3 linked regions of the Tamandua tetradactyla genome follow. The protein of the gene in region 1 interacts with the protein of each later gene in a biochemical or structural test. Links are inferred from orthologs where the notes say so. Each region holds a gene or a part of one and is shown in the gene's direction. Other genes may lie near its edges.

Region 1 (10,795 bases):
AACATATCGACCTCATAGTACCCTCTTTAAACATTAAAGGAGGCTTCACCAAAAAATCAGAGGTCTTTACATCTCAGAGAAAAGTACTTAAAAAAAAAAGTAATTTGGGGGATGGGTGATGAGTATGCCCTTCCTCTTGAGAGGGAGAGGGGTATTGGGGGGGAGATAAGAAAAGTTGATGCCAGGAAAAATGTGGAAGTAGAAGCTGAAGGTCTGGAAATTGACTCCCTTAAGCTTCATTCATATTCATCATATTCCTTGGGAAGTGTCCCCATACCACAGTGTAATGGCTACACAGCTTCCAACAGTCTTGCAATAAGAATCTTGATTTCAGACCCTCCTTTTATCAGGCTTTCGCTGGCACATGATGCCCCACAATTCCTGAGCCTTTCTAGGTTCCGTGCAGTGCAGAGATACATATATTTATCGATTTTAGAGAAGATGGCATCTTAGCAAAGTGCACGTTTTAGTTCGTCCTCCAGAACAACTACTAAATAACCAGAAACAGTACAGAACAGCTCCTGGGGCCACGTCAGTGACCAGACACACAGCGTATCTGAGTCTGGACCAGTGGACCAGCTGCGAGTCTCCTCAGAATCGTGAGTTCCCCAAGCCCATGGTGGCCGGTGCCTCTCCCCCACAGGCTATTTCCCAGAGGGAAAAGGAAAGAGACTTTAACAGCATCAGGGGCTGAGCCCAACCAAATACCAATAGTGGAATTAATTAACAAATTCTGACTACTAAAAATAGGCCCCCAACTCAGGTGAACCTGGTCAAAGCAGAAGTCGCTCATTTTTGCCCCAGCGCCAAGGGGGCAGGGCTGATGGAAAAAGAAAAAAAAAGGAAACAGAGGTTTTTGTGACTGTGTTTCTACAAAGGCTTGACTACCTTTGGATTTAGCAGCAGGACTTCTCAGGCTGCAACTGCCCCAGGCATAGGCAGAAACAAGATCATTTGAGGGCTTGTCTGGAACCTGTGCCTTCCCCAGGGGAGGAGTGAAGCCCAACTCAGGTGGAATCCCTCCCTTAAGGAACTCAGACACCAGGGCTTGGTAATTTGAAGCCATTAAAACCAGCCTACAACCTCTCCTCTGTCTCCATCATGCCTCCAGCAGGGAGATTCTGCCAAAGTTAAAGGTACAGCATTATCTTATGCTGGTGGGACCCGCAGGCAGACAAGTGCCACATACTGGGCAGGATAAGAAAAACAGAGTCCAGAGACTTCACAGGAAATTCTTTCAACCTGCTGGGTCTCACCCTCAGGGAGACTGATGCAGGTAACTCTTTCCTCCTGCTAGGAGGCCAGTTTGGCTTGGGAAAATCCGGCTGGGGTCTATAATACATAAGCAGACCCTCCTAAGGGTGGGGGGAAAAAGGCACCACACAAGCAGGGCAAGAAACAGGAAAATAAGAACTGAAAAATCTCCTCTGTTAAACAAAACCTAAGCCAGAGGTCCAGAATAAGCTGAACTGAATGTCAAAGAACAGAGAGACAACAAATTCATTCAGCAAGAAAACCCTAGGTAAAGGAAGTGAAAGCAATCTCCAGAATAAACTAGTTAAGGTAATTAAATGTCTATACACCAGCAAAAAATAACAAATCACACCAGGAAAATTGAAGATATGGCCCAGTAAAAGGAACAAACCAACAATTCAAATGACATACAGGAGCTGAAACAATTAATTCAGAATATACGAACAGACATGGAAAACCTCATCAAAAACCAAATCAATGAATTGAGGGAGGATATAAAGAAGGCAAGGAATGAACAAAAAGAAGAAATCGAAAGTCCAAAAAAATAAATCACGGAATGGCTAAATGGTAATGAAAGGCACAGGAGAAGAGATGAAAAAAACAAAATCTACAATGGTAGGTTTTGAGAGGATTAGTGAACTGGAGGATGGAACATCTGAAATCTGACACGAAACAGAAACTATAGGAAAAAAGTGGAAAAATATGAGCAGGGACTCAGGGAATTGAATGACAATATGAGGTGCACAAATATACGTGTTGTGGGTGTCCCAGAAGGAGAAGAGAAGGGAAAAGGAGGTGAAAAACTAATGAAGGAAATTATCACTGAAAATTTCCCAACTCTTATGAAAGACTTAAAATTATAGATCCAAGAAGTACAGCGTACCCCAAACAGAATAGAGCCATATAGACGTACTCCAAGACACTTACTAATCAGAATGTCAGAGGTCAAAGAGAAAGAGAGGCTCTTGAAAGCAACAAGAGAAAAGCAATCCATCACATAAAAGGGAAACCCAATAAGACTATGCGTAGATTTCTCAGCAGAAACCATGGAGGTGAGAAGACAGTGGGATGATATATTTAAATTACTAAAAGAGAAAAACTGCCAACCAAGAATTCTATACCCAACAAAACTGCCCTTCAAAAAGGAGGGAGAAATTAAAACATTTTCAGACAAAAAATCACTGGAAGAATTTGTGACCAAGAGACCAGCTCTGCAAGAAATACCAAAGGGAGCACTAGAGACAGATACGAAAAGACAGAAGAGAGAGGTGTGGAGAAGAGTGTAAAAAGGAAGACTATAAGTAAAGGTAAAAAGAAGGAAAATTAGATATGACATATAAAATCCAAAAGGCAAAATGGTAGAAGAACGTACTACCTGTACAGCAATAACACTAAATGGTAATGGATTGAATTCCCCAATCAAAAGACATAGACTGGCAGAATGGATTAAAAAACAGGACTCATCTATATGCTGTCTACAGGAAATAAATCTTAGACCCAAGGATAAACCTAGGTTGAAAGTGAAAGTTTAGGAAAAGATATTTCATGCAAATAACAATCAAAAAAGAGCAGGAGTAGCTATACTAATACCCAACAAATTAGATTTCAAATGTAAAAATATTTATCAACTGGTATGATAAAGTATCAACGATCAGTATGGATGCAGGCCATTGAACTGATGCAGCGTCCAGGCAGGCATTGCTCCCTTACTCCCTGAATTGTGAGATCTTGGGGTGGAGGGAGCCTGGAGAGTAACTGGATTGGTGGGTGGCAGAGTTGCATGGTGGGTGGGGCTGGAGGAGGCTCAGGACAGTAGCGATTTACCAAATAGTAAGAAACTATTTCAATATTGCATTTTAATATGTACAGCTGTATTCTAGTTTGCTAGCTGCCGGATTGCAATATACCAGAAATGGAATAGCTTTTAAAAAGGGGAATTTAATAAGTTGCTAGCTTACAGTTCTAAGGCCAAGAAAATGCCCCAATTAAAACAAGTTTATAGAAACGTCCAATCTAAGGCATCCAGGGAAAGATACCTTGATTCAAGAAGGCCAATGAAGTTCACGGTTTCTCTCTCAAGTAGAAAGACACATGGTGAACACAGAGTTTCTCTCTTGACTGAAAGGGCATGTGGCGAACATGGTTAGGGTTTCTCTCTCATCTGGAAAGGCATGTGGCGAACATGGCATTATCTGCTAGCTTTCTCTCCTGGCTTCCTATTTCATGGAGCTCCCCAGGAAGCATTTTCCTTCTTTATCTCCAAAGGTTGCTGGCTGGTGGGCATTCTGCTTCTCATGGCTCTGTCGTTCTGCTCTCTCAGAATCTCTCACATTCTCCAAAATGTTTCCTCTTTTATAGGATTCTAGTAAACTAATTAATACCCACCCAAATGGGTGGAGACATGTTTCCACCTAATCCATCTTAACAATCACTCTTAATTGAGTCAAACATTCCAGGGAGTTGATCTAATTACAGTTTCAAACATACAGTACTGAATAGGGATTAGAAGAAACAGCTGCCTTTACAAAATGGGATTAGGATAAAACATGATTTTTCTAGGGTACATATATCCTTTCAAATTGGCACAAGCTGTACAAGTGCATACTGGTTGACTGTTACCCTGGCTATCTGGTCCTTCTCAAAGACTGCCTTCTGAAGACACAGGTTTCAGCTTTCTCAGCTTTGCTTGGACAGTTATCATCCATGCTTTCCCTTTCTGTCCTCTAAAATTTGATTGCTCTCTGTCTATTGTTGTCTTCTATTCCTCTCTCTATCGATACTCGATTTTATTCATTTACTGTCATTTTAGGATTGCAAAGGAAACAGAAAAAGACCTCTTCAATCTGTCATATTAATCAGAAGGCCCCAATTTATATTTCAGAAAGTTTAGTTTGGCTGCAGAGTGGAGAGTGGATTGAGCTGGGAATAAGTCTAAGTAAACAGACTAGAGAGGTAACTGAATTCCTAGGAATATGCATGAAAATGGATGGTAGCCTAAATAAAATGATTAATAATGGGGATGAAGAGAAGTGGACAGACTTAAGATACTTAGGAGGCCTGTGTTCTCCAGCCACAAAATTTTTCCAAGGGTCTTCTTCCCTCCTCCCCTACCTCCACCTCCCACTCAGTTCCCACTAGCAATTCCAACTCTTCATGAGGTAAATCCAGATGACCTCTGATGTTTCCTCACATGCTGCTGGCAGTGGAAACTGTTATCAGAACCACCCAAAGACAGTGGCATGGTAAGCTCAAGCAGACAACAATATATATATATATATATATATGAGGCATACGGCAAACCCTGAGAAAAGGAATGACATTACCTTCTAGGGAAGAGGTTCTGGGGGTGTGACCAAGTCCCAGAGAGGGAGCTACAGCTTCAATTCTTGTGAGGCAATGGAGGCTTATCTTGAAGCAAAAGGCTTTATCTGAGTTTCTCAGAGAGCTTAGCTGTTAAGGTCAGCCTGGAACTCTGTCTGCTCTCTCATGTTTGGTCTTTTCCTTCTGTACATGGGATCTGAGTTCTCAGAAATCTACCAAGGATAGACGAGGAAGAGAGGAAAGGAAAAATGGGAAAGAAAAAAGTGAGGCCTTTTGAGGATGAGGCAGAATCTGGTTATGAAATTGCTCCTGGATACCTTGTGGACATATTTTGGGGCACTGAGATTGTGAATATCTAAGAAGCAGTTGAGTTTGAGGTTCCTACAAAACATACAGGTGAGGATGTCCATTAAGTAGGTGGATATACAGTCTGGAGCTGGTAAAGGCTGAGAGATACAGGGCCTCAAGCTCCCATCACCTTGCAATGAGGTAATACACACAATCACAGATAAACTACAGTGCACAACAAGTAGCTTTTTTTTGCTAAAAACTGTAAATATCTTGAGAAGAGTATATTTGTGTATGTGTGTTAAAACAATTACTAAATTTTAAAAAGAGTGGGGAGGGGACCTGGGGTAAATAAGTACACTGACTTAATCCACGCTTATTATTCTACTTATTGAAAAAAAGCAGAAATAAAACATCCAAGATTTAGAAAACAACAATTTCTATAACTGTCATCCCTCTATCTGGCATTTAAAAATCTTTCTAATATAATGAAAGCGTCAAAATACGGAAGTGGTCCAGATTTCTCTTAATCTCTTGGAGGCCCAGGAAAAAGTGGCGGCTGCGGATACACATTTGTAAATCATCAGCGTAAAGAAGCCAACAGTGCTTCTTCAAAGAATTTTCGCGGGATTCGCTAAAGAAGAGGAGCCTGCAAAAGAGGTAACGGGGAACAGCTGAAGAGATAGAAAACCCAAGGGAAATCAAAGAGTCGGAGAAAGACGGCCACATAGGGCAAACCCACGAGCGCACAAAATAACAGTTCGTTTTAAGAAAGGGATCAACCAACGGTGTCAAATACTTAGCTCATATTCCCCAGTCAGCATTAATCTAAGTAACTGCCCGCCATTGCTCACTGTTGCACAGCTCAGCTCTGCTAGTTTCTGTTTTCACTATTTTTTTTCTTCTACAGGCTTTTATCCGGCGGTTTACAGCTTATTTCCTCCAAGCAGATAGCTCAAGTAGGGCTTTGAATCTTACTTATAGTTCTCTCCCACAGAGTTTTATTTCTACTGCTCAATTAATATCAATAGAATGATCTGAGGAACATCTGACCAGCCACCCAGACAAAGATCCCAGCTTTTAACCAGCTCAAGAAGCCGAACACCGCAAGGACGCAGACACATTGCAGACACATTGCGCAGGCGCAAAGACAAAGCCACCCACCCCCCACCGCTTTCTCCAGAAGGTATTTGCATTTGGCGCGAAATCCCCGCTTAGTGGGCGGGACAGCAGGAGAACTTACCTCTCATTGGACAGGCTTGGCGCGAAATTTCAGAGCTCCTGCGCCACGATTGGCTCCCGCCGTCCCGGTCCGGCAAGGGGGCGGGGAGAAAGCTGCGCCAGCGCGCGCAAAGCGAATGCGCCTGGGGAGAGGTAGCTCGTCGCGAAGTGTGTTAGTGTTGGCGGCAGCTCCAAAGTGCTAGGCAGCCATGGACCTCGCCGCGGCCGCAGAGCCGGGCGCTGGCTCCCAGCACCTGGAAGTCCGCGACGAGGTGGCTGAGAAGTGCCAGAAACTGTTCCTGGACTTCTTGGAAGAGTAAGTCGGCAGGCCTGGGTCTTCCCCGGCCGCCAGCCCCGGGGGCGCCCTCCCTGAAGTAACTTCCCCTCGCGGCCCTCTCCGCTCCGGGCTCGGGCGGGGCGCGCGCCTCGGGGGCTGAGGAATCGCGCGCCCTGGAGGAGCGCCCTCTGCCCGGTTTTAAGCTCCGAGCCAGGTCCTCAAGAGGACAGGGCTGGTTTAAAAGAAAAATAATTTTGAGTGTTTATTCAAACTTGTTGATCTGCATGTCCTGCGCTAAGCATTTGCCTTATATGGTTTAATTATCGCTACAACCCTCGAAGGCCGGTAGTAGTTTAGCCCCTTGTTAACGGATGCAAAAACTGAGCTTCGATGAGGTTAACCAAACAGGCCACACGACTCGGCCTGGTCGAGTGAAAGGCAGAAGTGGCATTTGGGTCCTGGCAGAACTCTGATTGAACAGCCAGCCAGAAGACTGGTGGGGCCACCGGGATTCCTGGCCACCACTGGAGATGAAAGTACCAGAGCGAAAGTGTATCTCTCTGCTGTGACCAAGTTTGACACATGCTCGATGGGGGGGTGAGCTCCGCCCTGCTGAAAGGCAGCTGAACACACCCATCCTTCTGCCTGATTTCCTTCCTTCACCCCTCCCACTCTTCCAGGTTTCTGGTTTCCCATAACCCCATTCCCCTGATTTTTTTCCCATTGTTCGCTTTCTTGCATAGTAAAGATACATCACTACTCTCCCTAAGAGTCTCGACTGACCTGCCTCCAGGACTTCGGAATATTGAAATTCTGACATACTTAAACTTAAGATTTATATATCCATACTTTTAGCACTGTTATTCTCTGCCTGACAGCTACTCGCTCAACCCTGTATCTCCTTTGTGAAGCCCTCATGACCCAGGCACCATTCATACCTTTTTCCCTAATGTTCCCAGGGTTACCATTTCCTGTATGTTTCTGGTAATGTGGCTACTTTTATTTACCTGTCAGCCGCTCATTTTGAGTGTGAATCCCATCCTCAGCACCACCTACCCAACACATCATAAATGTCCTCAATAAATATTTTGTTTCAGCGAATAGTTTAGGTTCCTTCACTTTACTGTTAAGTACTGGGGATGGCAATGAACAAGACAAATAGTCCTTGTACTTTGTTGAGAAAAAATGTTTGCCTCCCTCTTGAAAAGCCAACTTTGATTCCCCATCACCATAGAATAAAGTCCAAATTCTTCATAGTGCCCCTTCCGGTTTTATTTCCCACAGTCAGCTCCAGTTGTCATTCAAATTCCTCCCATATCATCTCCGACATTGCAAAATAATTGCAAGCATAGAGAGTCTATCCAGGACCCCTGTTTTTCTTTGGAATTTTTATCATCTTCCAAGCCTGAATTCCAGTGACACTTTTAGATATGTAGAAAGCCTTTCTTTTAGGCAGACTTAGTTTATACTAACTGCATTTTTTGTACCTCTCTTTAGTAAGAAGACTTTCTTCCCTTTCTCAGTTGTTTATATATCTGTCTTGAGTGTAAACTCTAGGGCAGAAATAGCACTCATTTTCAGCTTCAGGTGCCTCTGGCAACATGTTCAATAAATATTTAAGAGAGTTAGAACATCCTATATTTGAAGATGGAATTCTATCATAATTAATCTGCATATTATGTTAAAAAAAAGTAGGCAACTCTTGAAAAAAATTTCACCAGCTCTTTTGTGTGCATGTATGTGTATTTCAATTTCTCTGAGGTCTTAGACAGTGAAACACTTTGTTTTTATTCTGATTTTATATTAGTTTTCAAATTCCCCAGGAAATTTAGGCCTTTGGGCTTTTACGTGGATATCCTGATTGAACATTTTATTAGTAATAGTTAATAATTATAGAATAACACATTCCAGTCAAGAAATTTATGTTAAAACCCAAAGACCTAATTTTCCTATGTTTATAGGCATTCTCTCATTTAATCTTAGCAGCTGTCTCATGAAATGGGTGATCTTTCCTTATCTGTTAAAAAATGAACATTTTCTTATTTAAAGGAAGCAGGTTTAGAGGAATAAATAACTTCTGAGTCTAAAGCTGGATGATATTTAAGCAATACACTGAACTATCAGCATTCAGATTCTTTCTACTGCTCCCCTTTTCCTTAATTTAATCTGATGTGTATATATCTGCAGGTTCCAGAGCAGCGATGGAGAAATAAAGTACTTGCAGTTAGCAGAGGAGCTGATTCGTCCTGAGAGAAACACATTGATTGTGAGTTTTGTGGACCTGGAGCAATTTAACCAGCAACTTTCCACCACCATACAGGAGGAGTTCTATAGGTATGGGTGTATTAATCTCCTTTACTTTGAATAGAGGTGAAGTTCTGGGAAGCCAGCTCTTCCTGGTCTGGAAGTATTCACTTGTGCGGCAAGGAAGCAGCTGTCAGTTACTTGCCTCCTCAGAAAGGGGGGTCCTTTTGGTATTATCTGTGGTCATTTTAGAACTATTCTGGACTTCATCTTGGCCTTTGTGGAGCTGAATGTTTTTTTCACATAAATTGAAAACCTTTTCTTTCTATGTAGTTTTCCCAGGTTTTAAGAGGATTGCTTACTTTGTGTCAGACATTTAGTACTGTTGCTGTCATTCCTTTGATCCTGCCTCCTACCCCACTCCACACACATCCTCACCCTAGTAGGTATTTTGAAAAAGAACAGTATGTGTTTGTGTGGGTCCTTCTTACATCAGGGCTATCTTTGTAGCAGTGTCATTACTGTACCTCCCATTCCCTTAAACTTTAAATTTGTTTTAAATAAAAATGAGGTGTATATTGTAGAAAATAAAGAATAGTAGAGGGGACAATCATCTGTACATTTGTAATCCAACCACCTTAGATAATCATCATGAGCAGGTCTGCTGCAACAGAGTTCCAAAAATCTTCGAGGTCTGGAAGTAGAGTTTCCTGAGCATCTCTGGATACCTTATTTATGTGTCTGTAATTAAAAAAAAAGTAATATGAGACTATGTTATAGACATATCACCCTGCCTTTTTTACTTAACATTGTATTATTTTCCATGTCATGTAAAATTCCTTGTGACCATTTTAATGGTTAGATAACACTTTTTGACAGAAATACCATCATTAGACATATTTAATAATTAGGCTTTTAGTGTTTATTATATTCTGCAGGAAACATCCTTGTATATAAATCTTTGTCTGCATCTTGGATTAAATAACTTACATCTGTTAAGAGAATATGCACACTTCAGTGTTAACAAACAACATTTCTGTCAATTTCCTCTCAGATTGCTATACAGTTTCTCTGTCTTCATTTCTTATCAGTCAAGAATGAAGCATAAAAAAAAATAGTAAGCCTTGATACCAAATTGGAGAATACCTTGCTAGATGTAGATAGAGCCCATAGAAAACTCGTAGTATTGAGTATAGTACTGAAAGAAGTGATTGTTTAGTTTAGCTAGAGTCATCTTGGACAGGATTGGTCTACAGTGTGGGTACTAAATGATATTTACAGATCATATGTACTCAGATACAGCATTTTGTCTTTGATGTTTCTGTTGTGAAATAGATGCATTTGTGGTGGGGTAAGAGATGAATAAAGAGGCTCCTAAACCGGGTAAGTGTTCTGCTTAGGTAGTTTCTAAGGCTTGCTTGTAACCAGATGATATTCCTTGGTCTCAGCTGTTAGCAAGCACTGAAAGAGAAGGAGGCCTTTATAGGCCTAAGATATGAGTTGTTGTTTTGTTTATTTTTCAGAGTTTACCCTTATCTCTGTCGGGCTTTGAAAACCTTCGTTAAAGACCGTAAAGAGATCCCTCCTGCCAAGGATTTTTATGTTGCCTTCCAAGATCTGCCTACCAGACACAAGTAAGAAACCCTTTGGAAGAAAAGTTTACTAAGTAATATAGGCATCATTTAATTAGGAGGTTGGAGTCCTAATTCTGCCATTAGCTGGTAGTTTAATGTCACACAAAATAATTTTTACCCCTTTCGTCCTCAGTTTTCTCATCTGTAAATTCTTTTGGCTTAGGATTTTTTTGTTTTGTTTTTAATTTTTAAAACATTTTTTATTGTGAAATATAACATATACAAAACAATAAATTTCAAAGTACAGTGTAACAAGTAGTTATAGAACATATTTCTGAGTTTGGTCTGGGTTACAATTCCACAATTTTAGGTTTTCCTTCCAGCTGCACCAAGACACTGGAGACTAAAAGAAATGTCAATGTAATGATTCAGCAGTCATACTCATTTATTAAATCCTATCTTCTCTGTTATAACTCCTCCTTGTCCTTTGATACTTCTCTCAATCTTTAGGGGTGCTTGGGCTCTGCCCATTCTAACTTTTTCGTTTTGGAAAGGGATGTTGATAATATGGAACAGGGGGATAGAACTAATTGATGTTCTTGGAGAGGCTAACCCT
Region 2 (10,299 bases), on another chromosome or scaffold:
TGGCTAACCCTTGGCTAATATCTTTTCCGAATAAAGTATATTCCTTTTCTCAGACCATGTGACACTGTAGTATTCAGCCTTACCCACTTTGGATAATAACCCTATATCCTTCTTTTCTTTAAAAAAAAAAAATGAAAATTTATCCTTGATTTTCCTTTACTGTAGTTTAAGAATCAAAACCTCTGCAGTGGAGGTGCAAGGGTGGTTCAGTGGTAGGTTCATGCAGGAGATCTGGGTTCAATTCCCAGCGCATGTACTTCCCCAAAAATAAACAAACAAGCAAAATGAAAAGAAATAAAAAACAAACAAAAATTCAACAAATGGTGCTGCAATAACAGGACACTCACATGGAAAAAGAATGAAATGTGATCCTACCATAACAGCATACAAAAAAAACCCAAAACCTCTGCAGTTTGCATTGAAGGAGGGACAGGGTTAGAGGGATAATTAGTTATTCTCTACCTGGGCTGGGGCCTAGGTACCATATTGTGCAAGTCCTTATGTGTTTATCCAGTTGTTTCCAAAATCCCTACTTTATCCTGAAGCATTTGTCAGCTGAACTCTTCTCACCCCTCTACCCCTCAAAACACTACACACTTCTGGCTGCTAAGTAAAGGAGACATCATATGATTAAATGGGGGAAGTAACTTTGGCAAGGATTATGATATGGACTTCACAAATAAATGTGATCAACTTAGTAATCAGTAGTTCTCCCCCTTGGTTATACATTGGAATCAAATGGGGAGCTTTAAAAGATGCTAATGCATGGGTCCCACCCCAAGAAGTTCTGTTGCATTTGATCAGTACAGCCTGGTTCTCAAGAGTTTTAGTAGCTCCTCGGGTGATTCTGATGTACAGACAAGGTTGAGAACTCAGTGTTCTGCAACAGCACTTCTTAGACTTTAATGTTCATGCAAATCACCTGAAGATCTGTAGGTTTGCTCTGGGTGCCAAGATTCTGTATTTCCTTCCTATGCCTGTGTGCTCAAATGGAGACATGAATAAAGCACTAACAGTGACCAGAGAAAGGAATAACACTCACTGCTTGGGAAGAAAGTGGATTAGGCAAAATAACTGATTTTTCCTTGGCCCTAGCATGGGTTTTGAGTCAGGATAATCTGATCTTTTCACACCAAAATGGATCTTTTCCTTCAGCAAACTGAGTTACTTTCTCCAATGGTCTTACTGTGGGGTAGCTGGTGGCTGGTTAGCTGATGGCTGGGGGTAAGTGGCCGTACTGAGTCAGTCACACAGACACAGACACACAGCACACAACTCAGGAGACAACCCTCAGGGGAAAAAGGAAGGCGTCTGCTTTATTCAGGAAGTGCACAGGCTTATATAAGCTGGGAAGCATGCAGGGACACGTGTCGGGCTGGGATTGGTGGTCGTTGTTGCTAGGCTGGAGGGCAGATTTCTGGGATAGGTCACCGTTGTTGCTAGGGCGAAGGGCAGATTTCAGGTCAGCCATTTCGTGTTGCCTTGCATCAGCCACGGCAGCCATGTTAGCAATATTGTATGGCTTCTCCAACATCTTACCTCTGAAATCCCAATTTTCACCACTCCACATACCATCTAGCACCTCTATCCTTTATCTTACTTTTGTACCCCCCATATATAAATTCTTCAATTACAATGAAATTCCCAATCAATTGTTCCCACCACTTTCACCTATCTACCCCTATTAGCTTCCTAATCACCTTTTGTTGTTGCCTCCCAAAGATTCCATGGTGCATCAAGACAATTACTGCCTTGTAAACACTCTTACTTGCCTTTCTGTGTGATATTCATTCTTGGTAAATCCATTTATCCTTTTTCATGTCTATACTCTCTTGACTGAAGTTTACTTGAGAAAAATCATACCATTATGCTTTAAATTCATGATACAGACTGCAAATAGGCATTCAAACCTGCTGGCAATATTGCAACCTTTCCCTCTTCACATTTTCACTCTCAGAAGATTCTTTAGACCTTCTTCTCACTCCTTCAATCTTTAATACTTTTCTGCCTCACTCTCAGCTGAAAACCTCATCTCATATTTTATTAAGAAAATTGATGTGATCAGGTAGGAACTAACCTTATCCACCTACCCATATATAAACAGCTGCTTGAATCCATCTTCTTTGTCTTTCCATCCTGTTAAAAAGATGGAAATTCAGGGGTTTTTCAGTCCCATCCCACTTCCTTGTGCTTTGGATCTACGATTTCATCCTTCTTTATAACCTAATTTTTGTGGGTATTCCCTTTTTCTCCCACATCAATAATTTCTCTTTCTCTATTAGATCATTCCTACCATCATATAAACATCTATCTGCCAACACAACATTAGTAATAAAAAACCTCCCATGGTCTACATGACCCACTCCACCCACCATCCTATTTCTCTGCTTTTCCTCCCACCCCCAAAATCAGAAACAAAATAGACGAACAGAACCTCAAGAATTGTCTCCACCCATACATCTTTCATTCAATATATTCTAGTCTTTCTGCCTCCCTGCATCTCTGAAAGTGCTCTTGCCAGAGGTTCTAATGATCATCATGTTGCCAAATTCATGTTCCTACTGTGTCCTCATCATACTTGATTTTCTTGCAGCATTTTCTATAGTTAACTACTTCCTTCAAATTGTAATACTTTCTTTCTTGACTCTGACACCACCTCCTTACCTCTCTGGCTGCTGCTTCTCAGTCTCTTTCCCTTTTTTAGAGGTGGGGGTGCATGGTCTGGGAATTGAACCTGGGTCTCCTACATGGAAGGCAAGTATTGTACCACTGAACCAACCATGCACCCCTTCTCAGTCTCTCTTGCTGGCTCTTCCTTCTCTGCTCAACTTTGAAATGTTGGAGGATCTCATGGCCCTGTTCTTTTTCTACAAACTTTGCCTTGATTATCTCATCCAGTCCCAAGGCTTTACGTTTCATTTGTAAGTTGATGGCTAGGAAATTTATATCTCCAGCAAAGACTGTGTTCCAGGCTAATATATACTTTTATCCACTTGACATCATCACGTGGATATAAAACAGACATCTTTGATTTGATTATTTTTAATGCACTCCAGCAAGAGACTTACAAGGAACTCTTCTATGATTGGACAAGTTAGATTTATTACTCATTTCAGTAAGTGAGAACGCACACCATAAGGATTTGGGTTTGTATTAGGTGATGAATGCATAGTGAATGTGAGATGAAAGTGGAGAATTAGGCAGCAGTCAAACCATGCAGGACTTTTAAAGCCATTCAAGCAAAAGGGACTTTGCTCTGAATTGAAAGCTGTTAAGAAGCAGGGGTAATTCATAGTTGGGCATTTTAGTAAGTATTATCTAGAAAGAGGAGAAAATTGGACTGAAGCTAAAACTGCAATCTGTAAAGAAGCCACAGTCATTCCTATTAGTCAGAATAAGGAGATGTTTGACATTTTCGTGTCTTTGAAAAATGTTCTTGTTTTGTCTGTATTCAAACATGATTATGGTATTCTATTATCAGATTATTAATCTCAGATTATTATCTTATTTTTGTCTTAATCCACCATGGTTACAGAGTGGCCTTGTCTGATGTTGAATCTGTAAAACTCTTCATTTTCAATAGAACACTGTGTTGGTTTGAAGTTGTTATGTGCTCCAGAAAAACAGGGTCTTAAATTTAATCCATTCTTTTGGGTGTCAACCCATTGCAAGTAGAATATTCTGATGGAAGCACTTCAGTTAAAGTGTGTCCCACCTCAACCAGGATGGGTCTTAATCCTATCACTGGCATCCTTTATAAGAGAATGAAATTCATACAGAGAAAGTCACAGAGGAAGCAGTCAGAAGCTGAAATCAATGGAACCTGGAAGAGAACGGAGAGGCCATGTGTCTTGCCATGTGACAAATGAGGAACAGGTTGCAGCAGTCAGCACCAGAATGCCAGTCTTCCACACCTTAACGATGCCTTGATTTGGACTTTTTTTTAGTCCCCAAACCTATAAGTTAATGAATTCCCATTGTTTAGGTCAACCCCTTTCATGGTATTTGCTTGAGCAGCCTAAGTAATTAAAACAAACACTGAGTCCTACTTGTGATTACCAGGCCAGCTAGTAGCAACAACAGGCTGAGCTGACAGTACCAGGTCAGCATCTTTATATCATGAATTGCTTTTCTCTGTCTCAGTAGACATAATAGTGCTCTTGATTTAGATTCCACCCCTTCACCCCACCATAAACTGTTACTTTTACAGCCTTCCCTTTTATGTGACACCACCATCCACACATATGCTCAACCTAAAAACCTAGGATTCACCCTTGGCACTGTCCTTTTCCTCATCCCCCCAGCCAATCAATCACCAAATCCACTGTTTTTCCTTCATTTCTGCTACTAGCATCCTGGTCCAAAACCACCACTCTCCCTCTCTCAAGCATGCTGTAGCCTCAGAACTCGTATTGTTTTCTCTGCTTCCACTCCTTCCTCTTTACAATCCATTCTTCTCACAATAGACACATAAGATCACTTTTCTCCCTTCCTTTAAATCTCTCAAATGCTTACCATTGCATTTAGAATAAAAACCAAACTTCCTACCTTGGCTTAAAAGTTCCACGTGATCTGACCCCCGCCTAATTCTCCGCTCTCATCTCAGATATGTTCCCCCACATTCCCTATGCTTCATTCACTCTGGCTTTTTCCCCCCTCAAACATACCAAGCTCATTCCTACCCCTTTCATACCTCTGCTCTTGCTCTATCTTTTGCCTAGTAGCGTTTAACCTGGTGGTTACTTCTCATCACCAGTCTCTTCTCTTGGTGGTATTTCCTGACCTCACCTAAGGTGGCTCCACCCCAGTCTCTATCACATTCCTCCATTTTATTTCCTTTGGAGGACTAATCACCATCTGAAAGAATGTTTCATATTTATTCATTTGCTTATTGTCACCACCTAACTGCAATTTAGCTTCATAAAAGGGTGGCATTTGTCTGTCTGGTTCACTATAACTCCAGCCCCTAGAAACCTCCCCGTTTCACAGCCAAGCGTTAAATAACATAAATGAGTGACTGAATGAATGCCACGGTTACCATTTCTATAAATACAGCCCCCAAACAATCAGCAATTGACATGTTTTGTTTGTTTTATAAGAGAAGCGGGGGACTCTGAAAAGGAAGTAAAAACATGGAATCAAGAAAGTGCCTGTCTTTCATCCAGTCTGCTCAATGTCATGGACGGCCAGAGTGCGGAAGTGTATGTCAGGACTGCAGGCCCTGAGGCTTTCCTTTCTCTGAATTACCTTCTTTCCTGAAAACAATGTTGAAGCCATAGCCTTATGATAGACTTACCCTATATTTTAGTAATGGTTATTCGGGTTTATTTCTATAACCACCCTTTTGGCGACCTATTAGCCAGCCACGACCTCTGGAAAGAAAGCCAACTCTCTTGCGCAGGCGCCCAGCGGCGGATTACAAGGCGCCTAGAGATTTATACTGCGCATGAGCACTAGAAGCAGCGAGGCGGGAAGTGCTGCGCAGGCGCATTTGGCAGACTCGCTAGATTGGGAGCTTTGGAGCGGGCGACTGAGGTATCTGGGCAGCCACAGAAGAAGTCGTATTCCCTTCAACCGTGAGTTTCCGACGGCTTGTTCTGTGGCGCGTGATTGTGAGGGATTAGAAATGATTCGTGACTCCGGGCTTGTCGTAGTGCAGTTCCCCCCCACCCCCCGCTCATATCCCCGCCGACCTGCGGCGGGAAAGTCGCGCGCCTGCGCACTGGGCGTCCCCCTCAATCTCTGGTTTGAGGAAAGAACGTCTTTTCCCGGCGGAGCTCGCGACCTGGCACTTCCGGGAGGATCTCCATTCATTCTCCCTTCTTTTCCTGCGCCTCGTGCTCGCGACCCGTATCGATTCTCTATTAGCTCGCGTGGGTCTCGGACGAGCCTCCCGCCTCTCCCCTTCAGTAGCCAAATGACTTCCTCCTTCAGTCCCCGTCCTCAGATCAAACCGCACGGCGTCCCCCTTTACACACACACAAACATACACACCAGCAGGCTGGTACCTGGGAGCTGCACCAGCCGCTTCCATCCCCATCTCCCCCTACGCACACACACCCTACCCCACCCCCTCCAGCTGCTACTGAGCCTCCCCCGACTAGGAAACTATCCCTTCAGCCTCTTGCCAAAATTTCCTAAAGGTGAAGGTAAAGCGAACAGAATCCTTAGAAGTGGCCCCCAATTCTCTTTCCTTTAGGAATTTGGACATATAATGCATTAAAAAAAAATGTTTGTTTACCCCATTGGGGGCAGTGGGTTTTTTTAGTACCTGGTTAAGTGAGTCTCATCTTCTCCAGTATTCTAATTTTTACAGCTCCTTTGCTTCCCCTGTGGACATAATCCCTTAGCTGGCATTTTGCATCCTAGTTGTTTTGTGATGGAAGCGACTTTGGGGATTCACGTGGATGAGCCAACGGCTTTTTCTCCCCTGCGTGGCCGGTTTCAGGTTGAAGGCTCCTTAAAAAAAAATGAGCAGAATTTTAAACTTGCAGGTATGTGTTCAATTCCAAAGATGTACTTACATGCAACAGTTCTCCATTTTAATTTTTTTAATAACTTCTCGAATCTTAAAGTAAGTTGTATGTTTGTATAGGAGCATTTTACACATCAGTAAAGCTTCATAAGCTGTAGATTTAGGACTGTCATTTTTACAGATGAAATGGCAAAGGTGAAATGTTGTGACTGCCTGAGAACCTGTAAGTTGTGTCAAAGCATGAATCTCCTCCTAGACCTTTGTTCTTATCACTACTCACCATATTGCATTTAGAAATTGACACTGGAGGGATCTTCACTAAAGTAGTCAAAGGCAGAATTGAATTAAGTGGCACAAATAAATGAATTCTGTACACCGCATCTCAGTGTACATCATGAAGTGTTCTTTGGCCTTATTCAAACCTTGAAGTGAGGAGGAAAGGGTGGATCCATATGGATCTTGTAGGCTAAAATGGTACCTGCATTCCTGCTCTAGCACAGTGCCTGGGACTTGGTGATGTTCAATAAATATTTGTTAAATGAGAAGAGTTCCAGTTGACTTTATTTGTGTTCCTAATAGATGATAAAAACTTTTCTATCTTTGTTTTAAGTGAATCTAGTGCTTGTCCAAATGCTAGTAATTTTGACCATTTGTCCATGCTAGATATGTATTTTACACATTACAAAATAGACTTTATCTCACCCTAGAAAGATAGGACATCGCATACTTTGGCTTTCTGGCTAAAACTAAACTCATCCTTGGTCTCAAAATGAATACCCTTTCTGATCTCCTTATTTTAAAGCCACTATTATACCAGTTACCTATGCTTAAAACTTTAGAATTGTCTTGGATTTATGCTTTGTATTTGTTCCCCATATCCAGTCGCCCACCTTTATCTCACTTATTTTTAAAATGTGTAGCATTGCCTTTCCTTTCCCACTGGCACCATATTAATTCATTCCCTTATGATTTTGCCTCTGAATTATAATGATGTTTCCAAACTGCTTTCACTTCTTTCCACTCTCCAGTTCACCTTATACACTGGTACCAGAATAATTGTATGCTACTTTCATTCAATTTCATGGACACTGTCACTCCCCCCACCCACCTTTTTTTGGCCATTACTCGAGCTTTCCCATATTAGTCATTTGACAATTCATCAAGTACTGCCTCGAATTATTATTCTTGTATTGTTTAGCATTGTATTTTATCTGTGCAGTTTTTATTTAAGCTCCTTGAAGACAGTGTCTCCCAAAGCTTCTAATGCATTGTGCATTATAAATCTGACTTGAGTCTATCTAGCAATATTTCAAGAGAATGCTACCATTCTAATAGTCTACTGAGAATCTTCTGGGAAATAAAGAGTGGGGCAAATTTTATGCCAAATATCATAGGTTATTTGGCCTTTATGTAAAGGAAGATTGGACATTATAGTGACTTTGATCATTTATAAACATGCAGAAATATGATTCATATTCTTTTTTATATGACCCTTAATAAAAGCTAAGGTTATATCAAAAACATAAGTCAGTGATAGGTTCAGTAAGGAGTAAAACTGATGAGGTCCAAGCACATCACTATCTCATGATCTAATTTGATTTGCTTTCCCTTGATGGACTAACTCTTGGAAGGTAGAACTTGTTTTATGTATCTTTGTATTCCCAGGACCTAACAGTGTCTAGCACATAGTAGAAGCTTGAAAATATTTGAACTAATGATTTAGTATAAGGATGTAGAGTAAAATACCTAGTGTAATGGATGGGTGACATTACCCTTTTTTTGGGATATTTGTCAGACTTTTGTAGTTTTTTTTCCTGATAAAAATTCCCACATGCTTTTGAAGAAAATTTAGAAAGTATAAATAACCAAAATAAGAAAATATTATATCTAATTTCATCATCCAAATATTGCCTCTGTAGACAGTTTTTTATATTCATTTAGTCTTCCTATACATACATTTAGAGTTACATTTTTTAAAAACTAAATTGGGATCATAGTTTATCCTTTCTAACCACCAGTTTTGTTTAATAAAGTTAAGTCAAGTTTCTTCTTGATAATTTTGGCCAATACTAGAAGGCTTGCTTTCATTGTGTTATATGGATGCCCTTATGCCATGCTTCTAAAATAGTTTATAGGAAGAGTGAACTTCCATCCTGGTTTGCCAGGGACAGGTCCGGTTTATACCTGTTGTCACTAATAATTATTCATGTCAATTAATTATTAGTAGTACCCCCTTTCACTCTCAGGAGTGTCCCAGTTTGGACTAAATTGCATGATTCCTTAGTTGTAGAAGGTATAAGTCAGACAGTATACAAACCCCCAGAACAAATGTAACATGTTCTTGGTGTGCTCATTTTACTCCATGGTAAGTAAATGAAAATATTTCACTCAATTCGATGAGTACTTACTAAACGTGTTGTTATGTGGATATACTTTTCTAGGTGCTAGGGATAAATCACTGTATATAACACACAAAAATCCATGCCCTCAATTTAGTGGAAAGAGATAGATGGTAAACAAGAGACATAATTCAAAAGTGATTACTACAAGGAAGAAATTTAGAAGGAAAGGGGAAATTGAAAGCACTGGGGGAGAAGATTGTGATTTTAATCAGGGTAGTTAGAGAATGTTTCAGGTGAGGTGACACTTGAAAATGCTGAAGAAATGAGCTATGCAGATATCTAAGGAAGAGCATTCCAGACAGAGGGAACAGCAAATGCAAAGGCCCTGAGATGGGAGTGGACCTAGCATTTAGGAATAACCGGAAGGTCACTGTGGCTGGAAGGAAGAAAGTGATCTCACCTTAGGGAAATAACACGTTGCATACTTTTATGATGACATCAAAGAGGTATGCAGAGGGGGGTTCTTTGGCTTTTGCATGGACTGAAATGGGAAAACATTAAAGGAATTTGAGTAAAGTATGACCGATAACATAGTTTTTACAGGATCAGTCGGGCTGCTGTGTTGAAAAAGACTATAGGTAGGCAAGTACATTAGCAGGGAGAACGGTTAGGAGGCTGGTGTTATGTTAAAACCAACTTGAGTATATTATGTAGCAGAAGACAATTCACATAAAATTTCAAAATAGAAACCTAGACTCTCATGTGTAAAACATGGTCATTTAAATAAACTTTTAGCTTGTGATGGACTTTTCAGGACCTTCCCTTAAATCCTCAAATGATATACTTATTCACCTCACTTGTAGTAGTACTTTTCAGTTATTGACATGAATTTTCTTTTCTGTTGTTCTCTCTCATTTCCTGCTACAGGATTTGAGGATATTGCATTCACTTTGGTCAGCAGGGAGATTTACTGTTTTTTTTAGAAATGTCGAAGTTCTGCTGTCATAGGAAACCTTAGTATAAATACATCTGGTATTTTGTAAAGATGGGTGAGTAGGTAGGTAGTTAGTAGTGGTTGCTGAAAGTACATTAAGTGTACAGTCATTCACATGGCTTATGCATTATGATATTTTCATATTGCTTACATCTTTCTGGTTATTTCTAATAACTAACCAACATCTATGTTTCTAACTGCCATCTTGTACTTATTAGGCAAAGTGAAATGCTGAAGTATGGAACTCATAGGAAAATCACAGACTATTGTACTCTGAAGGGTGTTTTGTAAAGTTCATCTAAACTAACCCTCTTGTTTTACAGGTGAGGAAATTGAGGACTAGTGTGATTAATGGTGACAGGAGTTGAATCCAGATCTTTAGATTCTAGGCATACTTCTATATCAGCAGTGTCCAATGGAATTTTCTGTGATAATGGAAATGTTTCTAGCTCTGCACTATCACATATGGCTAGTGTAACTAAAGAAAT
Region 3 (11,474 bases), on another chromosome or scaffold:
GAAAACATGGGGAAGAACTAAAAGAAATCAGGAAAAAAAAATACATGTACAAAAGGAGGAACTCTGAACAGAGGCAGAAATTTTTAAAAGGAACCAAACAAAACTTCTGCAGCTGAAAATCAAAATAACTGACATTAAAATTCACTAGAGTGTTATTGGGAATTGAATAATGTCTGTCACAAAAAGGTCTGAACTCTTTGCCCAGGGGCTGTGAACCCATTTGTAAACAGGACTTTTGAAAAAGTTATAAATTAAGGTGTGTCCAAACTGAATGAAGGTGGGTCTTAATCCAATATGGCCTAAGTCCTCGGAAAAGCAAAGGAAATTGGACAGGGAAAGCGAAAGCTACTTGAGAAGCAAAAAGCTGGAAATCAACAGAACCTGGGAAAAAGGAAAAGAAATTGCCACAGGGTGGAAGAGCCAAGGACCCAAGGTTCACTGGCAACTACTCCGGAATGTGAAAATCTCCAGGAAGAAAGGATTGTCTTGCCAATGCCTCAATTATGGACTTCCCCTAACCTCAAAAACATGACCAAATAAACTACCAATGTTTACTCCAACCCACTGTATGATGTTTGTTTTAGCAGCTAGGAAACTAAGACAAGTATTTTAACAGAAGACATGAACATCTGGAAGAAAGAATCAGTGACCCTGAAGACAGAACAAGTGCAAAAATTCAGGCTGAGGAGCAGAAAGGAAAAAGAATGTAGAAAAGTGAGCACAGGCTGAAAACATGCAGAACATCATCAAGCATACTGATGAAGGGCACTGTGGGAATCCCAAAAAGAGAAAAAAAAAAGGGTGAAAATATTTGAAGAAATAATGACTGAAAACTTTCCATATTTAGTGAAAGATATGAATATACACATAAAACAAAATAACTACAAGTAAGATAGATTCAAAGTACCCCACCAAGGCAGATTATAATTAAAATGCTGAATACCAAAGACAGAATATCACAAAGCAGCAAGAAAGAAGTGATCATCACATAGAAGATCCTCAATAAAATTACTAAATTCTTGAGGAAGCCATGGAAGTTAGATGGCAATGGATGAAATTTTTAAAGTGATTAAAAAAAAAAAAAAACTGTCAACCAAGAATTGTTTCAAAAATGGGGAAAAGAAGATTGAGATGCTCCAGAGCCAGGTATCCTACAGAAGCTCTGAAAAAAAGAATAGCAAGAACTGGCAGAAACATCTTTCTCAAAGCTTCAGCGAAACCTCCTTGTGGCACCTTTGTTGCCCACTCTCCCATTTCTACACCAGTTCAGTATTGAGCCTGCCTATCTTGCCAGTGTGGATCCTTGGTCCTGAAAACTTCCAAATTTAAAGAAAGACTTGAATTTATACATACAAAAAGCTCAATGAATATCAGAGAGTATGCACCCAAATACACACACCTAGACAAATAATATCCAAAGCATCAAATGACAAAGATAAGGAGAGAATCTTTTGATTAGATGGAGATGTGACTCCACCTATTAAAGGTGGGTCATGATGAGTTTACTAGATTCCTTTAAACATTTTGGAGAAACCTCAGATGCAGATGCTTGAGAACTGTTGCTTCAGAGCTGACAGACACAGATATTTGGAGATGCTAAGAGTGCCTCCAGAGAAAGCAAATGTCTAGACACGGGCATTTGCCAATGCAGAGCCCAGGAGACGTAGCCATGTGCCTTTCCACAAGATGCCAAACAAGACAAAACCCAGAGTTGTGTCCAATATACCAGAAATGGAACAGTGGAACAGTTTTTAACAAGGGAATTTATTAAGTTGCAAGTTCACAGTTTTAACACCACAAAAATGTCCAAACTAAGGCATCCAGAGAAAAATATCTTGACTCAAGAAAGGCCAATGGGCCCAGAACACTTCTGTCAACTGGGTAGGCATGTGGCTGGAGTCTGCAGGTGTCTTCGGTTTCTGGATTCAAATAGTTTCCCCAGGGGCATTTTATTTCTGCATCTCCAATTGTCTGGCTCTGAAGCAATTGTTCTCCAAGCATCTCTGTGTGGGCACTCCAAGTACCTAAGCTTACTCCAAAATGTTTCCCTTTTTAAAGGACTCCAATAAACTAATTAAGACCCACCTCAAATGGGCGTAGTCACATCTCCATCTAATCAAAAAGTCACACCCACAATTGAGTATATCACATTTCCACAGATGTAATCTAATCAAAAGCTTACTCCTACAACTGGGTGGGTCAATCTCCATGGAGCAACCCAATCAAAGGTTTCCACCCTAAACTCTAGGTCTGGCCCCAAAAGATTGGATCAAGATTAAAACATGGCTTTTCTGGGGTACATAATAGTTTTAAATATGTACCAACATGACAAATCTAAAACTATTATGTTATACAAAATTCAGACCCAAAAGGTATATTTTACAAGATTCTATTTTATATGAAGCTGAAATACAGGCAAAAGTAATCCATGATAATACAAATCAGAAGAGTGGTTGCCTTTGATGGGATAAGTAAGAGTGACCGGGAAGAGGAATGAAGTAAACTTCTGGGATGACAAAAACTTTCTATATCTTGATTGGGGTGACAGTTACATGGATGTACATATTTGCCAGAAATCATCAATCTGTATGCTTAAAGTGAATGCAGATGATCTCATGTGAATTATACCTCAATTATGAATATTGGAAATTTTTTTAAAAAGAAAGCATAACTATTGCATGCTGATACTTCTAAGTGTCTTATAGTAAAGCAATTTCATTGGATATGGGACATTGTAAGTGCTCGATAAATATGGAAGAAAAGACAGAAGGAGAGTAGGTAGGTAGACTGTTTTACAGTCATGATCAAATGTGTGCTCAATACTACCTTAAAGGAATTTATAATCTAGTTCAGGCCATAAGATATAGCCTCTGGACCAGTTTATTATCCTTAACAGCTCCTATACCTGCCATAGCAGCTTCTGTATTATGTTTTCTCAAGAGGATCTACTCCCAAATTCTGGCTCCTTTTGTTTTGCATATTCTCCATTTTGACCCTTCACTTAGGCTGTGTTAAGACTTCATATTCCGAATTGATTTTACCTGGTTTCCCAACTCAGTGTCACCTGAAATATGAACTTCTATGTCATAGGCACTACTCAGTCCTAACCATTCATATGCTTAGCCTACAAAACTAGGAACTCAACCTCAGAAAAAACCCAGGATGTCCAAATGACCAAAAGAGTAAATAACAATACATCTTGGAAGATAATATATCAGTAGTTGGCAAATGAATCCAACAGGAGCAGGAAATAAAGGAAAAATCTATGCTATGCTTGTAATGGATAAGGAAGAGGAACAATTGCCAGCTAGGTGGAGAGACTTAAGCAAAAAAAAAAAAAAAAAAAAGGACAACAGGAAAATAAGAATATTTCAGAAGAATAAGTAAATCAGTTTTTTGAGACTCTAGAACAAAATATATATATTTGGCTATGAGGTAGATAGATGGAAAAAGTAGACTGGGATTCATTTGATAACCACAATGGAAGACTGAGCAGCTATTATCTTCACTTACAGATGAAACTCTAGCATAGAAAGGGTAGTATTTATCAAAGGTCATCAAACTAGTAACCGACACAGTCATTACCGAAAGAAATTCCTTTCTCGTGATTCAGAGCCAAATGCACATTTAATTAGACCATGATTCTGCTCAATATTCTCCAATTTTGCTTAACAGGACTCTTAAACCAAATTTACTACAAATAACACTATTCCCATTCATTTATTTCTTCCTGAAGGCATATCCATCATCTGAAAGACTCTCTCTATATCACATTCCCAAGATGTATTTTAACATAAACCTTATTCTCTTACTAAGAGATTTAATAATTGATATGACAGGTAAGGAGGTTTCTATCCTTATTGGCCAAATTCTTTTTTCCTGTGACTACTAAAAGATTTGGATTTTGTTGGGGACTGAATTATTTCCCCCCACAAAAGGCAGTTCACGTCCCAACCCCTGGTTCCGTGCGTATGAACCCATCTGTAAATAGGATGTTCAAAGATGTTATTAGTTATTAGCACAAGCTGAATGAGGGTAAGCCTTCAACAATATAGCTGAAGTCCTTAAATAAAATGAAATATAAGGAAATGGGAGCAGTCAGAAGCCAGTAGTCATTGGAACCTAGGAGAGAAAAGAGAACATGCCTCCATGCTTTATATGCACTGCCAAGTAACGGAAAACCACAGAACCCCACGTATTGCTGGCCAGCCAGAAGATAACTGTGGGAGGAAGCAAGCCTTCTCAGTCTCTGAGACCATGTGCCAATAAATCCCTATTGTGAAGCCAACAAATTGCATGGTATTTGTTTTAGCAGCTTGGAAACTAAGTCACTTCTCAGCGATAGTTTTCAAAATTAACCTTGGGCTACAGGTTACAAAATTAACACTATGCAGCAAAGCAGACTTTCTCCTTATTCATATATCAATATTATCACCACAGTGCAGTCAAGGATATGTGTAAAGCATAGGATACAACTAAGTTACTCTCCTTCCAGTTATGGTATAAAAGCTAGGTAGTCTGATACTGCTTAAACCTCCTAAAGGCTCAATCTTCCCTTTCTATCATTATACTTACCTAACACAGATAAAGTTTTGGGAAAGAGTGTAGTCTACCCATCTTCACAGCACACAGATTATTATCTAGCACTCACTTTCACCAGGTACTGAAATTATCATTATAGAAACCAGTGACAACCAATGGCAATAAACACCAAAATCAAAGGCCTATTTGTCAAGTCTTAAGCTTTTGGAGCTCTCTTGCGGAGGACAGAAGTGGTGCAGGGTTCACCAGTACGACAGCACTTAGCTCTGATTCATTCTGTGCCAAGCAATGCAATAATAAAATTTTCTAAAATATTTCATTTAGTCCTCGCACAACAGTTCTGAGGATTATTACCCCTTTTTGCAGATTAAAATTGAGGTTCAAAAGCTTACCTGATTTCAAAGTTTGCAATTCTCTCGGTTTTTGAAGCTAAATTTTGTTACCAGTTTTCTTCAAAACTCTTTGGTCTTTATTTCTGTCACTATTTCATCACCACCTGCCACCCATCATGGCTGTTTCTATTGCACATGCTCTCCTGGGCAATTTCATTTCCTCCCAAAGCTTTAACTACATTTTCTATTAGTGTTTTTCACTTTTTAAAGCTTTGGTAAACAAAAATCTTATATTCTTTTTGTAACACATTTTGAAAGAGTTTTTTCCCCCAAATCAAATTTATAATATTGAATATGTTGGTTGGTTAAAACTACACCTCCTCCCCACTTTCAAGATCTCATAACCTTACACATCACCCCATGAAGGAGAATCAGGGACTGGTGTATATGATGGCTCATATGAGCCCTTCCTCTCTCTGGCTCTCTCTCAGACCTCTCCTCTGAGTTACAGGTAAATACTTCCAATGGTCTAAAAAACATAGTTTCAAGACTGTCTCCCCAGGCCCTTCATCATTAACCCTGTCCAACACAAAATACTTATTTCCGTTAGCAAACCTGATTATGTTAGCTGACAGTATCACAGTCCATCCTGCAAGCTTCAATGTACCGTCTATATGTTAAAAATTGACACTGGTGCTTACTAATTTCCCTAATCTGTCAGGTCAAACATTAGCCTAAAACAGTAAGTGCTTATTATGTCCAAGAGTTGTTAATGAATACTAAGTGGCACAAGAAAAAACAACCCTCTTCCTCCTTAGAAATCTTACAAACAGAAAGATAACCCCCAAAATATATGTGAAGCATTTTCCCATTTACAAAGCACTCTCTCACAAATATTTTAATTTTAATTTAATCATTGCCATAATCTCATTGCTATCTTCACTTTACGGATGAGTAGACTTACAGTTAAAGTAACTTGGTAATTTAATCAAACTCTCATGAGCTGATAAATGGTCGGTTCAGACCCAATCGCTGGACTTGAGATTTTAAATTCCACCCCTTTTTTAAATTGATGAAATGAACTTACATAAGGAATGAAAACAAAAACCTGTGTACAAGAGAGGTCAAAAGAGATGTGCCAAAGGGCACACAGCGACCTGAACTCGCTCTGGGGTGGCGCTCCCATTAGGGCAGGAGCCCTCCAGGCGCCTCCTTCTTTCCGACGCCGCCCGGGACCCTCTCACCCCGGAAGCCTCCCTGCGGCCCGTCCCCAACCCGCTGGGTCAGCTGCGGCCGCGGGGAGACCACGCTCTGCGATTCCGGACGCACTGGGCCAGGGGTTACGGCTGCCTGGCCATGGCTACCGCCACGGCCCCGCAGCCAAAAGCTAAATCAGAGGTCGGCCCCAGCCGCCGCGCCACCAACCTCCGAGATACGAATCTTGGGAAATTAGCGTACCAGGTGGAAGAGGTGACTGAAGGGCAGGAGGTCCCGGCAACCCTAAAGGGTGGGCTGAGCCGGCCTCCGGCAGTAGCTGCATCCACTAGGTTCAGTCAACTCGCAAACACCAAGACTATAGAAGGGTGTGCAGGGATCAGAAGCGGACGGAGAACTAGGGTCTGAGGCAGAGAGGGCATCGCAATACCGGAGGGGTGTGAGCGGAGATGTGACCCGTGGGGGCGGGGCACGAGGCGCCAGGAGGAGGCTCGTGGGGGGCGGGGCGAGCTGCGTGAGGAGGTGGCTCGTGGGGGCGGGGCGAGCGCGCGGCGAAGCCCAGCGTGCGGCGGGAGAGAGGGCGGGACGCGCGTAAGAGCGTCGCCGCGGCCGTGTGACGCGTTTTCAAATCTTCAACCGCCGTGGCCCACTCGCTTGCTCTTTGCCCCTTCCTCCTCCGCACTTTGGATCCGGATACTGCCCCGGAAGCCCGGCCCGCCGACGCAGCCTTTCTGCTGTGTGGGGACCGCGGCACACGGAAGAGAAGAGGCAGCTGGCTTGTTAGCAGACCCGGGGGAGCTGTGCTTTCGCGGCCGCCCGGCGCGACACCCTCTCCAGACCCAGTATGTAGGTGCCGGGCGGCTGCCATGAACTCCGGAGCCATGAGGATTCATAGCAAAGGACATTTTCAGGGTACGAAGCCCCTCCTCCGACCGCAGTCCCTTTAATTCTCTCTTCCTTTGATGGCTCCACCATCGATTCCTCAGAGTTCTCCCGCCCAGTCCTCTGCTTCTTTTCATTTCTGGCTTGTGCGTCCATCTCTTCTCCGTGGAAACGGGGCCTGAAGGAAGGTTCCGTTGAGGGTTCTAGTTCAGAAGGGAACTTGTTCGCGGCCCCAATTTCCTAGTTGTGCGGATGGCTGTAAAACTAGGAAACAATGTACGGGCGGAACTCGCCAGGGCTGCGTGCTGCCCCCTCCCCCCGTAGCTTCCACAGAAGCTCAACCCCATTGAAGCTGAAAGCTCGAAGGCTGATGTGCTTGTAGTTTTTTGCTTCGTGATTAGGTTGGGTGATTGTGGGTAGATTTTAGATCCTATTAAGTTTATTTTGTTTCATTCACTAAGTCGAGGGAAAGTGTGAATTTTAAACACGTCGTTCCTGTTTCCAGCGTTATGGACAAACAGGAAAACAAATTTCCATTTCTCCGTCACTTATTTGATAAAATATTCAAACCTGTAAGTTTTAATTTTTAGTATCTATGGAAACCTCCCATTTACAGACAGATTATATCCTAAAGGTTAACTTCTAAGAATTACTTGGATCTCAGATCAGTTTTCAATGGAAAGTCTGAAAAAATGATTTGGTTCTTTCAAGTGGCCCTTAATGGTTCTTAATATATAGAAAATCAGTATGTATGTGAAACAAAAACTTGAACAGTTCTGAATCCTTGAGTACTAGGACATTCGGGGTTACAAAATTCTTGCATAGTTAAGAGTTTAACATTTTAAGCACCAATTTAAAGTATTCATCAGAATAGAAGATGTTCAGTAAGTATTTGTTCAGTGAGTACCCTCATGGAGTTTACATTCTAAGAAAGAAAACTTACATAAAGATTTTGTATAGATCTGTTCCTTGATAAACAAAATATAGTGAACATTTCTTCCTGACTCAAGACTTCTTTCAGTAATTAATAATTATTTTATAGTGTGACATCTGTTAAAAGCATATTGGTCTTTTGCCTTTATCCTAAGTTATACTACTAGGAAATACATGCAAATGGCTGCTAAATTGGTAAAATTAAAAGAATTTTCTCCTCAATGCCGTGATTATCATACAATGAAATGTTTTTAAAACTGCAGAAATTTTCTCCTTACGTGAAACAAGATCTAATTTTGAACATTTTTAATAACAGGTGGAATCCAAGTCAAAAATGAAAAAAACAGACCCTCTTTGAAGGCTCTGAAAACTGATAACAACAAACCAGAAAAATCCAAATATAAGCCACTTTGGGGAAAAGTATTTTACCTGGACTTACCTTCTGTTACAATATCTGAAAAACTGCAAAAAGACATTAAAGATCTTGGAGGGGTAAGTCAAAACTATACACAGACAAAAAAGCAAAAACTCATAACTAATACTCACTAATGTAATCATTTTAAACTTTCGCTTTGGAAAAGTTATAACCAAGTGTTAACATCAAGCCTAAAATTTCTCTTTGGTAGCCTGGCAAAATTTTCAGATCTCTGTAATTTATAGTCTAGTGTCAAGTTTCCAAAGTGTGAGAAATCAGACTCCCTTGTCCTAGTTGCAACACTGGTTACCTTCTCATTATGATGTTGGAGTGTCCTCCACTTAGCAGGAACTGCTTGATGGCATTTATTGTAGAGCTGTTTACATTTGTCTGGACCAGTATAATGTTAAGGATATTGGTAATTCAGAACAACAAAGTCCAATTCAAACCACAAAGAGTTAAAATTGTATTTGAGTGAAATAGTCTCAACAGGAATGAATGTCATCAGTGCAACAGAATTTTGGATTAAGAATCTGAAAAGCCTACTTCTTTTTTCACTTGATTAATGTTTAGGAAATTAGAAAACTGTCCAAAATTCTAAGATTTTCTTAGAATTATGGTTAATATTGGATGAATTTTTGTGAGTTTATTCAGATTCTATTAGTTTATTTCCTAATTCTTTTTGTTTAAAAAGTTAGATTCTCTTTAACTTTGAGTATCTCAAGGTAAACATCTTTGAATAAATGAAACTTGAAGAATTGGCAAGAAATTTCCTGGAATTGTGTTGAGGGGTATTTTCTTTTCCTATCTTGGAAAAGTTATTGTAGTTACTATTTTACTATTTATTTTGTTAAACTATTTTCACATGTATCATTGTAGTAACACAAATCATAATGGCAATATGACATTTGTAAAGGTTGTTTTATAAGCCTGCCACCTTTACTGACTGTGCCGCATACCAAGAGTGTCTTAACGTGTTAAAGATCTTAGAAAATTTGTAGAACTCCCTATATTTTAGAAATGAAGTATGTTGGGTCTAGAGAAGTTAAGGAACTGACTCAATCAAAACATGATTCACCTCTCATTTCTCAGACTTATATACAACTCCACCATTCTATTCCACCAGCATTTAGTGGATGTAAAGTAGCTATTTGATGTAATTTTACAGCTTTCTGAAAAATCACCATTAACCCTTGTGATCTAAATCATTGACTTTTAGATTTGTGCTTTTAGCAGTGGAACCCTTCAAACAAAATTGTATTTAGAAGTCCAGTGTATAAAACCGCAAAAAGGAAACTATTCCAGCTAAAGCAGCAGTGCAAAGGCTAGAACTACCTGTGCCCCCTCTTTTTCTCTCCTCCAGTCTTTAGAGCAGTTCCTGAGGCACTTCTGAAAAAAAAAATTTTGGAATTATTTCTCTCCCAGATAACAATTGAGGGACCTTTTTGTTTTTACTTTTCAAATCTTTTGAAGTTAGAGCATGGTAAGAGTGTCAGTTTCCAAATTTTCCCCCAAAGCTATGGATTTCAACTGAGTTTAATTTATTATTGTTTATTCCTTAATTTCTCTTTTTTTAAAAAGTTTTTATCCAATTCCCATCTCTCCCCACACACACACTATCTTGACGAGTCCTGAGTTCTGCCTCTAGTACACTATGATTTCTATCACTAAAGAAAGACCTTGTCATGAAGAGCTATATGAACTATAAAGGAACTTTGATCTCTAGGCACTAATTTAACAGTATTAGGATTCAACTTTAAGAAATACAAATTTAGTTAGATATTCCTTGAAACGATTATGCTTTTGTATTTAAATATTGCTGAGGATTACTTAGACACTTTATCCTTTTTATAATTTATCTTCAGATAATTACTGGTGTTGTCTTTTTATTTAATTGGACATTTTTTTATATTAATTTAGTTCCTCTAATCTTAATGAAAACATCTTAATACCTATTTATCTGAAGAGTGCACTCTGAGAAACCCAGTCTTTGAGAACACAGCAGTGAATTCTGACCTCATGGGCAAATGTCTTTGAAAGTGGCTAGGAAAGTCGTTACAAAAATCTATAATGACATGGAACCAACCATATTTAGGTCCATATCCAAATAGTTTTGGTTAACATAGGCATTTAAAGAATAAAGATGTAAGGGCAGATACCGTGCCATATCATGAACTTAAGAAGAGAGTTAAATATTTTATGTTTCATCATCATGACCTTGAGTCATCAGAAAATAAGTTTTTAATTACTCCTTAAAGGGCATACATTTAAGAATATGCTACTAGACTGAAGATCGTGGTAAAACTAATTTTTTTGTTAGTTTTCAAAGCAAATGTTTGAATATTATATGCAGGGTACTGTATTAAGTGTTTGGATGGATTCAAAAATGAGTCCAATGTCTGGCTTGCCCTCAATTTCTAATCTAGTTGGAGATGGTATGGATATAATTCATTGTAATACAACATAGAATGTTAGCAAGAGGGTCTTGCAATTATAGGGGACATTTTGCAGACGCAATTTGAAGTGGGCTTTAAAGAATGGGGAATATTTGAGCATGTGGAAATTCATTCATCAACTAATTTTCCACCATTGTCTCTCATATTCCCACACTGTTTTTAAGATTCCGTGGATGCATAAGTAAGATGCAGTCTAATCTTCTAGGAATTCTAGTCTAATGGGAACGTCAGACATTTGAATCATTTACACTATAACATTGTCAGTGCTTTAACAGAAATATGTGTAAATTGTTATTAGAACAGAGATGGGATGATTAAACTCTGCATTTAGGAGTGATAATGGGAATAATGTTTGACCTGAGCCTTGAGGCCTGACAATATACTGGAATGAGCATATTTAATATGTAAATATGTAGTTGTTTGTTTGGGGAATTGTTAGCAGTGTAATGACAAGCTTAAGATTTAGGTGGGGGAGTGGAAGAAATAATATTATACTGGGGCCAGATTGTTAAGGGCATTTTATTCACAGCTAAGGAGTTTTAATCTGATCTGGGAGAGATGGGAAATGAAATTTTCAGGTATAGAGGTGGAGAATAAGGGAGGTGTGATATTTCTAGGTCAATTCACCAAAAGGTCAGAGTGTCTTATTTACCCTTTTACCATAAATGTATAATGAATGAATTTTCAGTGTGATGTGGA

The links. The genes of interacting proteins can lie anywhere in the genome.
Region 2: of the proteins of MCM6 (region 1) and CDC7, one has a biochemical effect on the other in vitro, tested with the Homo sapiens proteins (2 studies listed by BioGRID). The link is inferred for Tamandua tetradactyla from reciprocal best matches to the Homo sapiens genes MCM6 and CDC7.
Region 3: of the proteins of MCM6 (region 1) and DBF4, one has a biochemical effect on the other in vitro, tested with the Homo sapiens proteins (2 studies listed by BioGRID). The link is inferred for Tamandua tetradactyla from reciprocal best matches to the Homo sapiens genes MCM6 and DBF4.

What each region holds. Positions count from the first base shown.
Region 1 is NC_135329.1:105,538,530-105,549,324, reverse strand, and holds the start of MCM6 (DNA replication licensing factor MCM6), read left to right. Parts: upstream 1-6,212; 5' UTR 6,213-6,293; coding exon 6,294-6,400; intron 6,401-8,548; coding exon 8,549-8,695; intron 8,696-10,128; coding exon 10,129-10,239; intron 10,240-10,795. UniProt on the Homo sapiens protein: Acts as a component of the MCM2-7 complex (MCM complex) which is the replicative helicase essential for 'once per cell cycle' DNA replication initiation and elongation in eukaryotic cells.
Region 2 is NC_135337.1:32,879,748-32,890,046, reverse strand, and holds the start of CDC7 (cell division cycle 7-related protein kinase), read left to right. Parts: upstream 1-5,465; 5' UTR 5,466-5,576; intron 5,577-6,316; 5' UTR 6,317-6,379; coding exon 6,380-6,494; intron 6,495-10,299. UniProt on the Homo sapiens protein: Kinase involved in initiation of DNA replication. Phosphorylates critical substrates that regulate the G1/S phase transition and initiation of DNA replication, such as MCM proteins and CLASPIN.
Region 3 is NC_135327.1:129,015,417-129,026,890, reverse strand, and holds the start of DBF4 (protein DBF4 homolog A), read left to right. Parts: upstream 1-6,640; 5' UTR 6,641-6,955; coding exon 6,956-7,001; intron 7,002-8,220; coding exon 8,221-8,396; intron 8,397-11,474. UniProt on the Homo sapiens protein: Regulatory subunit for CDC7 which activates its kinase activity thereby playing a central role in DNA replication and cell proliferation. Required for progression of S phase.